3 linked regions of the Schizosaccharomyces pombe genome follow. Changing the gene in region 3 together with the main gene of any one other region gives a genetic interaction. Each region holds a gene or a part of one and is shown on either strand. Other genes may lie near its edges. The genes, in order: amt1, wtf21 and srk1.

Region 1 (3,756 bases), 770 kb from region 3:
CCAAACAATACCACCAACAGAAGCAGCAAGATGTGTAACGACGACAGCCATGACACCACGCATGTTGGCAGCAGCGGAAGAACCACCGTTAAAGCCGAACCAACCAAACCACAAAAATACGGTGCCAAGAACGACGTGGGGAACGTTGTGTGGGCGATATTTGGTAGTACCATGGTCACAACGCTTTCCAATTACGATGGAATAAGCCAAAGCAGCCATACCGGAGGAGATGTGAACGGGAGAGCCACCAGCGAAATCGTAAGAGCCCAACTTGTTCAACCAACCATTAGGATTCCAAGTCCAAAAGGCGATTGGGTCGTAGACGATGGAAGTCCAGAGAAACATGAAGACCATACAGGGAAACATGCGACCGCGATCAGCGGCAGCACCGATAGCCAAAGCGGGAGTAATGGCGGCAAACATACCTTGGAACACGCAAAACAAGATGTCGGGTACACTGGAAGCACCGGAAGAAGGTCTACCCAACGTTTGGCGAAGACCGAAATTGGCGAGGGATCCGATGTATGGACCACCCTCGTGAGAGAAAGTAAGCGAATAACCCCAAAAGAACCACTGAAAGGCAACAATGGCGACAGACATCATTGACAAAAACAGCATAGAAATGGCACTTCTACGACGAGCCAAGCCGGAGTAAAAGAAACCGACACCGGGAATCATGATAAACACCAAAGCGGTACTTGTGAGAATCCAGGCAACATCACCATTATTGTAAAATTGATTAAGATTGACGGTCATGGAATCACCGCCATTGACACCCGAAGGGGTGGGAGTGGCATCGGTAGTGGAAGACATGATTCAAGAAGTCTTGTCTATCTATTAAGAAATGAAGAGAGACCAACACAACCCAAAATAAAGGGGATTAAAAAAATTACAAACAAAAGAGGTTTGTTGGCGAAAAGAAGAAAAGTAAAAGTAAAATAAAATAGTATCGAGACTAATAAGGTATGTATAAATGGAAGGAATTTTTCTATAGAGACAAAAAAAAAAAAACACCTAGGAAATCAAGGACCCAAACGATAAAAAGAAAACACAACAAATTATATATATATCGAACGACCAAGAAGAAATTAGGGGATCGATATTTGAATATTGGGGAGAAAAGAAGAAGAAAAACACTCGAAAAGAAGAAAAATCAAATTTCGAGAAAATAAGTAAAATTAATAAAGAGAAAAAAAAAAGGAATTAAATTATTCTTCTTTTCCTTTGAACTTTGAATTATTTTTGTTTTTCAAATTTTTTTCTTTCTTCTATTACAAAACAAAAAAAAGAAAACTGTATCAACCACCCAAAAACCGATGACGATAAAATAAACAAATGCACGCTAAAGCAGAAGCAGATGTAAATGTAAATGCACGTATCAACAACGAGAACAAAAATTGAACCAGCGAATCCAACAGACTGGAAGTATGAATGAAAGAATAAAACAAAAACAAATATAGAGAAATTTGAATTTGTAAACTACCTAGCTAGCAAATATGCACGCACAAGAGCAAGAAATGCGTAAAATTCAAGTTAAAGAGATGCACTGCAAGTCAGGCGTCAAGATATGCTCTAAGGTTGGAATATCGTTAGATTTAAGGTGCAGGGTGAAATAGGCCAACGTTGGTTATCCGCGTCTCAACCGTACGGTAGGGGAGAGAGTCGGCGGTTTTATATGCGCGCAGATTCTAAGCATCCCTAAAATCTGGTGGTTATCAAGTTTGATAACGGCAAAAATGCAAGGACGCAATTGGACAGCAATATTTTTAATGATTGGTTCAAAGTAACGATCGAGATAAGCAGAGATCTATATCCGACGCAATGATTGGACCAAAGGCGAGCAATGATTATGTAAAGAGATTAACTTAAAGCTTTAGTGGGCAATAGGTAACGAGATAAGGGTATTTAACGATAAAAGAACAAATTCCTTAACCAATCGGACGACTCTGTAACCGAAATCAACCGAACAGAGTTTAGAATGGGTAACGATGTAAGGGTGGTGTAAAGGTGACAAGAGCTGTTTCGGCGGGCGAGCAACAAGGCAATGACAATGACAAAGACAAAAGTAGAGAGAGAGGAGAGAAGATTAAAGAGAGAGAAAAAAGACAGTAGAAAGGAGAGAAAGAAGAAAACAAGTAGAAGTAGAAATAGAAATGGAAATGGAAATAGAAAGATGAAAAATAAAAAAAATAAAAAATAAAAAAAGAGATGCTATGAAAATATACTTCAACAGTTTATTCATTCATTCATTCAAAAAAACAGAAAAAAAAAATTTCAATTTTCCATTGTTTTTGACGTTTCAAAGTCAAAGGCAAAAGGCATTATTGATATGGCTTGGTTTCGCAGGAGGTAGGGTAGGGTAGGGTAGGGTATGTGGTAGTATAATATATGATATGCTAGCTAGTATGGAATATGTTGTGTGCTTAGTTGATATATGTTATGTGCAACTATGATTTGTGCTAGTTGATAAATTGCTATTAAAGGAATCTCTGGAATCGCTTTGATAATGTTTTGTCGTTCGATCGGCTCCTCATCCTTGTTATGACGGTTGTTTTTCTTCTTTTTCCTTTTCTTTTGTTTCGTCCGGCCTATCCATAGTGTCCTGCGACGATCCCGTTCGGATACATGGAAGTAGTTTAATATTCGTATGTGAAAGGAAGGCAGGGAGAGAGAGAAGGAGGGAGAAAAGAAGGAAGAGAGAGAGAAGAGAAAGAGACATGCAAAAAAGAGGATATTCATTTAATTTTCCTTTTTTTTTTTTTTTTTTTTTTTTTTTTTTTAATTTCTTTCTTTTTTTTTTCTTTTCTCTCTCTTTAATCTTCTCTCCTCTCTCTTTTCTCTCCATCGTTCTTTCATCTAATCAGCTCTGCCCTTGTTTATCATCTCTAATAAATTCTTTGATCTTTAATTTGTCAAACGCTAACATGATGAATCATTCATCTCTACCTTGATTTGACTTTTCTTCCCCTGTTTTTTTAAATTTTATTTGTAATTTTCCACTTCCCTATCTGCTTGTTTGTTTGTTCTTGTCTTTTTTTTTTTTTTTTAATAAATTTTTTTTTTTTTGGTTTTCGATTTTTTATTTTTTTATTTTTTAATTTATGTTTATTTTTGTTTATGTATGTTTATCATTTTATTACTTTGAATTTGTAATATCATTGCAATTGAAACGCTTGCAAAATTACCGCCTCCTTCTCATACTTTCCTTATTAATCAATCATCTTTTTGTTTTCCGACTATATTGATATTTTTTTCTTTCATTGTTAATCGACTTGTTGTCTTGCTTCATCTTGGTTCCGCATTTCTCCGTTCATCTCGTTCCGTTGCATGAAAAAGTTCTAGTTCTGGCGAGAGCACTAGAAGTTTTCTAATTTTTTATTTTTTATTTATTTTTGATCAAAGAGGAATCCCAAATCCTATTCTAATCCTAATGCCAATCCTACTCCTGATCCCAAGTGCAAGTGCAATACAATCCCTAATAAAGTAAACTCAAGCAACTTAGAAAATGCATTCTTCAATCTTCAAAATAATACTTCATAATACGCTTTCTACTTTTTCTTTCTAATCCTTTTCCTCCCTTCTAACCGCTTTCACTACTAAAATTGTCGTCAATTCTATTTATTTATTCATTCCATTTTCCTTTACTCTTTTCTTCCCTTTTTCCAATCCACACATCTTTTCCTTCTTCTCCCTACCGCTCCTACAATATCTCCTTATAAGACAATGCAGTGTATCAATCCTTTATTCCTTATTTCT
Region 2 (3,756 bases), 760 kb from region 3:
TACTATACGATATCTTGTTGACATCCTAAAAATATTGATTGACCATTAAAAAAAAAATCATGGACCTTTCCTACAAGACAGTTGATATGGTAGGACACAAGGAACATCAATCAAAGTGTATTTAATATGTGATGAACTAACGTCCCGCACCCTATACACATTCAAATGCTATTATTAAAAAAGGAAAATAGTTGGAATTAATCTTGACTCATTAAAAGCAAAATTTCATGAAACACTGCAAAAATAATTTAAAAAAAAAGTATTAAAAATATCCAATCCAACTTCAACTTTTCTGATTTCATTATCAAATCATCTCGCAGTACTGCATTCAATTGTCATTCAAATTTTACTAAAATTTTTCAGGTAAATACATCGGACAAACAACTTAGTGACACTTAAAAGAATGTGTTAAAAATATAATGCGATAAAGCTGGAAAATATGAACTATCGCTTATATGCTTTTTTGCGTTGGCCATTTTCGTAAAGAAAGTTTTCCAATTATAGAGATGTTCGGAAGCACAACATTAATAATGCAACTAGACTTCGCTTTCAACATCCATTTCCCCCAAGGGAATGTCATTATTATCGTTGGCACCTCTAATCGCATTTGCTAGCCCCATCATCGCATTTCCTATCCCTCCTAGTCGGGTAAGTAAAAAATCATTCATACAGTTGGTTGAATACACATACCTAATATAAAAGCTATACCATTCCTGATAGAGTTTCGTGTTCTTATGAGTGCACCTGGACATTCTGGCATGGTTAGAATAAAGTAAAGCAATATTTAACGAACCCATTTCGCAAAGAAAAAGAACATTGCCCATAATAAATAACACAGAGGCTTCAATTTCACAACCTATCCGTTCAAAATGTTTACCACGTAAAAACATCGTACCGTTTAGTACCAACACGATACCACTTTGTAACAAAAGCACTTTTGCCAACTTAGCCAACGTACGCTCGAATGTCCAAAATGGAATACAAACTGTTTATCAGCGTTTAGCATTGTAACTTCACTTACCAGATGATACAATTAAAAGTAAAACAGCCGAAATAGTGCATGTAGAACAGATGAGTGCCTTGTTTAAGATTAGATCGCCGGATTTGATGTAAACGAAGAGTATACAACAAATGATTAGCCAGAGTATCCAAATTATAATCATCATCTCTCTTCTTATGTTGAAAAGGCCAATAGAAATCACCTTTACACATTTTGCCAAGGAAATTACAGTTACTTTAACTGCCTTGACCCAAGTTTCATAGAAGTCTAATGAGTTAGTGACTGAAGGTAAGATTACCCATTGTCTCACTTACAAGTCAAGAATATTAAAGCCAAAGTGCAAACAAGACACCAAAATCCAAATAATGTCCATTCTGCTGCACCATAATCCTTAAAGAAAGCGTCCTTATACGTTAGATAACAAATTGCGAGTACATTCAGTACATAGATTGGTGTGAATGATATTAGCAGTTTTATCAAGAAAGGGGAAGAATTATCTGTCGACCTGGAAGGATTGTTTTCTCTATGTGTGTTAGGAGGATTATTTACAAGTGCGTGATCTGTTTAAATTAATATGATTGAAATACTTTAGTAAAGAAAGAGCATGTATCAAATTGTGTGCATTGCATGGCCGACTGTAAACAATGACCAAAGCATGCAATTTGACAAGATGGCAAGTTTCAACTTTCCATTGAGTAATTCCTTTCTTATTGTTTACAATTCTTACCTGAATATGGAGGTAATGCGCCCTCTTCCTCCGAATCATATTCTGGGAGTGGTCCTTTTTCCAAATCGATTTCATGATCTGTCTTCAATTCATCTTCTTCATCTAGAGGACTTTTCAAAGAAGTGTAATTATTCTTCATTTCATCAAGATCATTCTTTATTTAATAAAACACATGCGCGAATTAATTGCTATGATTGCGACAAACGAAACAGCAAAATCAAGAATATTCGCTCTGGAGTTCAATTTCAGCTGTTCAACATAAATAAATGAATAATACTCGTTTCAAAGCAAACTGTTTTTTCAATAATAGCAAGTGAAAAGTAGAATTCCAAAACTCATTTTAATGTAATTGCTTCTGACACATTTATTTTGTCACTGCCCTTTTTATTCACCCCAACTTAGATTTCCTTAAACGTTTTTGAGAAGCAAAACGTTGTAGTATAATTATAATGTCAGTACGCAATTTGGTATCTGCTTTAACGATACATAGCACTGCGGCGAGATTTCTAGCGACTTACAACATAGCGGTAAGCGGTATGTTAACTAACAATATTATATTTATTGTTATAAGAAGTCTATTAGTATCGGTCACCGATATAACTCATAACTGAACTGAGGAATGAGGTTCAGTGTGAATGATATTATTAAAATTCTCATAACAATGATTAATATCGTTGTTCGTTACTATCGCATACACACTCTTTACTAAATCGCAAATAAAACTCACTGTAGTTCTAAGCCTGGTTAAATAAATAGTTAATCGCGTGTCTGGCAACTGCAAACCATAATTGACTGTGTAGCGGGTTTCGTGATTTAAAATCTCACTCAAGCATTTGGTCGTTCATAGCCATGCTAAAGTTTTTTTAAAAAATTTTTTAATTTGTTTCGTTTGAAAAGACAAAAACTGATTCAACTTAATTTTGGTATTCATTACTATATTAAATTTTCAACATTTTCAACATTTTCTTATATCAAATACTCCTGCACCCATTTATTGCTGTTCGGTTTTATATTTACCTTTTGTTTACATACTAATTATTATATATTAACTATGGGCAAGTAATTTTCAATCGTTTGGCATATCGTAGAACAAAGTCGAAAAGATATATCTCCTTCACTGATTTGAGTTGTTCAACTTTTTAGTTCGTTTAGTTCAAATAATATATTTTATTCGATATATTTTAGGCGAGTGCGGAATTCGAAATATCAATAAGAATCATATCATATTAAAAAAAATAATTAATTATTTGTAAAAAACGTAAAGCCTTTTGAGCTAGTCAATAAATGGCTCATAACTAAATTCACTGTGCTATAAAGTGGAGGATTTATGTGAAAAGTGTAAATATGAATTTATTATGAAATATTCGGCATAACATGATTTACAAAATTATTTTGAAGCATTTAGCAGATAAACGAACCAATTATTTGACAGAAACTTGACCTTGCAAGCTATGCAATCCCGATTATATTTGTTTACTAGATTGTATTCATAAAGTTTCGAAGACTATAAAAATGGGAAAACATTAAGATGAATAAATGTTGGGATTGAATTAAAAGCTTAAAGACGCATTAAGGCAAGTGAATAAAATTCCTATTTTTAAGTCATAAAAGATACAAAAATACCAAAAAATTGAACACAACTATCAAGAGGATATATGAAACGTTCAGTTCGCAGTAAGAAAAGAAGCCAATGCTTCGTTACAGAAGAGTCAGTTGCTCAGCTTGAAGGTATTCTAGAATTTGGGGAGACAACCGTGATTCTATCATGGTACTGAACATCACCAACATAGACCCTTTAAATTGCAAACGTTGTAATTTCTTCTTTGATTCCTCATTGACTACAGGAAGTTTAGATATTGTTCTGTACAAAGCTTTAATGGAAGACATGGAAATGTACATTAAGGATGGAATAACGCTCAAGACCTCATCCTGGAATGTGGAAAACTCAAAAGCGCGACGCCGTAAACGTGCAGAAATTGGTGGAATTTGTTCATTGGGTTCGAATTCAGCTTGCACTTCATTGATTGGC
Region 3 (3,756 bases):
AACCACTTTGCTTAGACCGAAATCTGCGAGACGGATTCGACCGATGGTGCCAGCGCCGACACCGGGAATAAACTCGCCCTCGTCTACCTTATCGGGATCGTCTCCGGCACGGTATTTACGAACCCGAGAGGGCACAAAGTCGATAGAATCAAAAAGCAGGTTTTCAGGTTTGATATCACGATGAACGACACCGCAGTCTTCATGCAGATATCGAATGGCATGTGCAACTTGAGTTATGACATGACGAGACAAATCTTCGGAAAAATAGGTGAGGCGAACGATTTGATGAAATAATTCACCACCGTCAGCCAGCTCTAAAACCAGGTAATAGTATTCCGGGGTTTGGATGAATTCCAAGAGTTGAATGATGTTAGGATGTTTAACGCGACGCATGATTTGAACCTCTTTTAAAATGTTGTGCGATTCAACGCCTTGTCTTTTTCTGGGATCGCGAGGATCGGTGTTTGGTTGAGCGCGCTGGACAACTTTAATGGCGACTTTTTCACCCGTTCTGTTGTGAATAGCTTTGTATACATTACTAAAAGCACCATCGCCCATCTTTTGTAATAGAGTGTATTGTTCAAGGCCTTTATATACAGGAAATTGTTGGCCGGAATGTTCCTCAACAATGGCCTTTGCAACTAAAGCCTCGATGGCTTTATCATATTCTTTTTCGTTGGTAGGTTGTTTACATTTGGAGCGCGAATATTCGGAAGGATTCTCGTGCACCGTCTCGTGGAAATGTGCATGCCGGGACTTGGGTTTCGAGGTGGGATTTTGAGTGGAGTCCGCTACTTGCTGAGTTATGCCAAAATTTTCTTCAGCATCCGAAAATATGCCAGCAGTATAGCCATGGTCCCGTTCAGCATAGGAATCGGGATTCACTTCGCGAACGTTCACCTTGCCCTCGTCCTCGATATTTTGCTGAATACTCTAAATAAATTAAATTAGCATAACAAAAAACAAAAAAAAAGTAAAAGGGAAATGTGTTTATGGATAAAGGTGGTTGGAAGAAAACAAAACCAAAACACATTGTATGCGTAAAAGAAGTGCGGTGAGATTGATGTTTCCTACTGAGAAGAGGGATGGAATGGAAAGGATGGGAGTATAATCAATAGGCATGGTTATGGTTATGCTTTTGGTAATTCAAACATACTTTAAAACGCATTATTTGAACAGACGGCGACAAACGGAATCAATCAAGAGATATGGGTATTATTAGAAAAATAACTAATTAAAGATCTCTAGTCGTTTGGTTTTACGTCTGGAAATGTGCCAACACATTTGCTTCCAAATTCTTGACACTGATCTATCCGCATCCGTACTCTTGAACTAAACCAAGATAACAGAGAGACAAGATGATAGAAAAAAGAAAAAAAAAAGAAAAAAAAAAGGAATTTCGCACAAAAAGAATGAAAAAAAAGATACACTTGCGCATCCGCCAAATTTAACTTAACGACTTGAAAGCGAAACCCGTCACCTGAATGATGTAGAGAATGAAGTCAAGCATACAATCACCGCCTAGCAGAAGGGGAAGGAGACGTGATATAGAATAAGGTAAAGATGAAATCAAAACTGATCATCAAGGAAAGAGCAAATCTCCGTATGAAAGCACCTGACGTAGAAGAAAAAAAAAATCCAAAAAAAAGTCCAAAAAACTAGTCACAGACTTGGAAAGAAAATAAAAATGAAATAAAAACACAAAAGAAAAAAATCGCTTCTTGCTTTTCTTTTTTTTTTATTAGAATTCAGTAATCTTCCAAGACTCGATATTGTCCAACCGTCCTAATTCATTCGTCCACTTATCTCTCCTAAGATCCCTATCCCCAACCCAGTCCAAAGGTAGGAAGTGTAACGTCAACAACACTCTCCAAACGCAAAGTCTTTCCGATACTCATCTCCAGCCTCTAATATCCGCGTTTACATCCACAATCCAAACAAAAATCCGACTCAAACATTACCCACACGAACGAGTGAGCAAACATTTACAAACGTACATTTTTAAGAATCATATAACTTTCCAATACTGGGTACCCTTCCAATAGTCTCCAAAAAATTACTAAATTAGCTTTTCAATTGATTTTCACAGAAATATATTGTTGGTGTCCAACAATCGTGGTATGCGAAAGACAAGAAGTTTATGTCGGCGGATTTGCCTACTTTGACGTCCTTCGTTAACGTACGTCATTGGCATCATGCGAGCCGCTCGTTCCAACTCTGTATTCGCTTACGATGGTGGTGACGTTGCGCATCCATGACTCGATGAGGTTTTGCGGTAAGCGACACGGTGCAATGGCGAGGTAAAAGTGTAAAGTGGGTGGAGGTCAGCATGACATCAGAGACAAAATAGGAGGATATTGGTGTAGGAAGGGAAGAGAAGAGGATATCGTTTATAAAGAGGTTGTTGGAGGAATGCTAGGGGGGGAGAGAGAGAGAGAGAAAGAAAAAAAAAGATAGAAGTATGGATGGCATGGATGTGTTCTATCTTGTTTTCGATTGTATACTATGAAAGATGGATAGAAAGAATTTATTCGAGATCTAATATTTTTTCAATCTCACTCATCCATCCTCTTGCAAACCTTTTTTTCTTTTTCATTCACCCATGAATTTCATCTGATACAGCAAATCAACCAATCTTTCCTTCCTCCCCTCCATTGCTCATTTCACTTTTGAGTGGCTTCTGCACTGTTTGGCGAAATAAATTTCCATGTTATTCCATTTTGAGTTGATTAGTTGAGTGATTTTCTTCTGTCGTGAAAATTTTCAACAAACTTTATCTGTCTATCTCATTATCCTTGTTGATGCAGCGATCCATCTCATTTCTGTTACTTGCAATTGATTTCTTATAATTAGCAAAATTTTCATAAGCCGACTGGCTGGCTTCATTACATATCCATCATCTTGGTGTACAATGAGATCGACGCAATTGACCTGATAAAAACGCTGGATGAAAAATCGCCCATTCCTCATTGTTGAATGAATGAGATGAGATGATGTTTTGGCTGTTGTCGCCTGACTTCAAGATCTAAAATTCATTTGAAAAATCAAAAGTTCTTCTTATAGGGCACGGCAATTGCGCCCTTTCCATACAATGCAAGCCCTTAAGTATAGAGATGGCGAGCTTGTTTATCATCATGGATAAACGCTTCGCCGTCTTTGCCTCAAGTGACAAGCCAAATAATTGTAGTAGAAAGAACATGTTTTTTTTAAAAAATATCATTGTACTGTCGAATTACCTTTACCTTTTGTATAAGGCATGGATTGTTTGTACTACCATATCTCTTTGCTGCGATTTTCCTCTGTTCAATTTTCTCTTTATAGCGATTCCATACTTTACTGAGATTCTCTACAATGATTCCTCTTTACTATGGTTTCTTTTCGTATCACTGTGTTTTATTACGTTATCATTCCAATCTTTGGAAATATAGCTGACAGCTTGCACAGGCTGAGGAATCGCTTCTTCAATAGTCATAATGAATATAAAGTTAATGTTGATTTTACCTGAATATGTTTATATAAGAAAGGCCTACCTAAGAATGAACAGTTCTCTTATTACTGTATTCATGTTTATACTTATAATTTGGATATACTGGCTAAGACGATATTGGCGGATAGGAAAGGCAGAGTCGTATTAGAATAAGTGAAAAAAGCGTGCGACAGCTAAAGAAATCGCATAGGAAATTTTTTAGAAGGGTTTTTAAAGGTAAGTTTTGTTCCTTCTGAACCGCAGTTCAACCAAATTTCCCATCCATCATG

What was found.
Region 1: mutations in srk1 (region 3) and amt1 together harm fitness more than expected from each alone (negative genetic interaction), as found in Schizosaccharomyces pombe (one large-scale study listed by BioGRID).
Region 2: mutations in srk1 (region 3) and wtf21 together harm fitness more than expected from each alone (negative genetic interaction), as found in Schizosaccharomyces pombe (one large-scale study listed by BioGRID).

Annotation. Positions count from the first base shown.
Region 1 is NC_003421.2:2,066,863-2,070,618, reverse strand, and holds the start of amt1 (plasma membrane ammonium transmembrane transporter Amt1), read right to left. Parts: upstream 1,641-3,756; 5' UTR 814-1,640; coding exon 1-813. UniProt on the Schizosaccharomyces pombe protein: Transporter for ammonium to use as a nitrogen source. Under ammonium limitation acts as an ammonium sensor, generating a signal that leads to pseudohyphal growth.
Region 2 is NC_003421.2:2,062,562-2,066,317, reverse strand, and holds the start of wtf21 (wtf meiotic drive antidote-like Wtf21), read right to left. Parts: upstream 2,085-3,756; 5' UTR 1,867-2,084; coding exon 1,728-1,866; exon of another isoform or gene 1,561-1,727; coding exon 1,315-1,560; exon of another isoform or gene 1,294-1,314; intron 1,268-1,293; coding exon 1,022-1,267; intron 986-1,021; coding exon 794-985; exon of another isoform or gene 754-793; coding exon 691-753; exon of another isoform or gene 641-690; coding exon 537-640; 3' UTR 1-536. Other genes in the region: nucleoporin Npp106, read right to left, coding at 3,426-3,756. UniProt on the Schizosaccharomyces pombe protein: Acts as a suppressor component of the dual wtf meiotic drive system, and can suppress but not confer meiotic drive by compatible poisons.
Region 3 is NC_003421.2:1,300,312-1,304,067, reverse strand, and holds the start of srk1 (MAPK-activated protein kinase Srk1), read right to left. Parts: upstream 2,132-3,756; 5' UTR 1,169-2,131; coding exon 1,157-1,168; intron 934-1,156; coding exon 1-933. Other genes in the region: protein mug150, read left to right, coding at 3,114-3,428. UniProt on the Schizosaccharomyces pombe protein: Delays the mitotic G2/M transition by promoting nuclear exclusion of cdc25. During osmotic stress, inhibits the G2/M transition in a sty1 stress-activated MAPK pathway-dependent manner.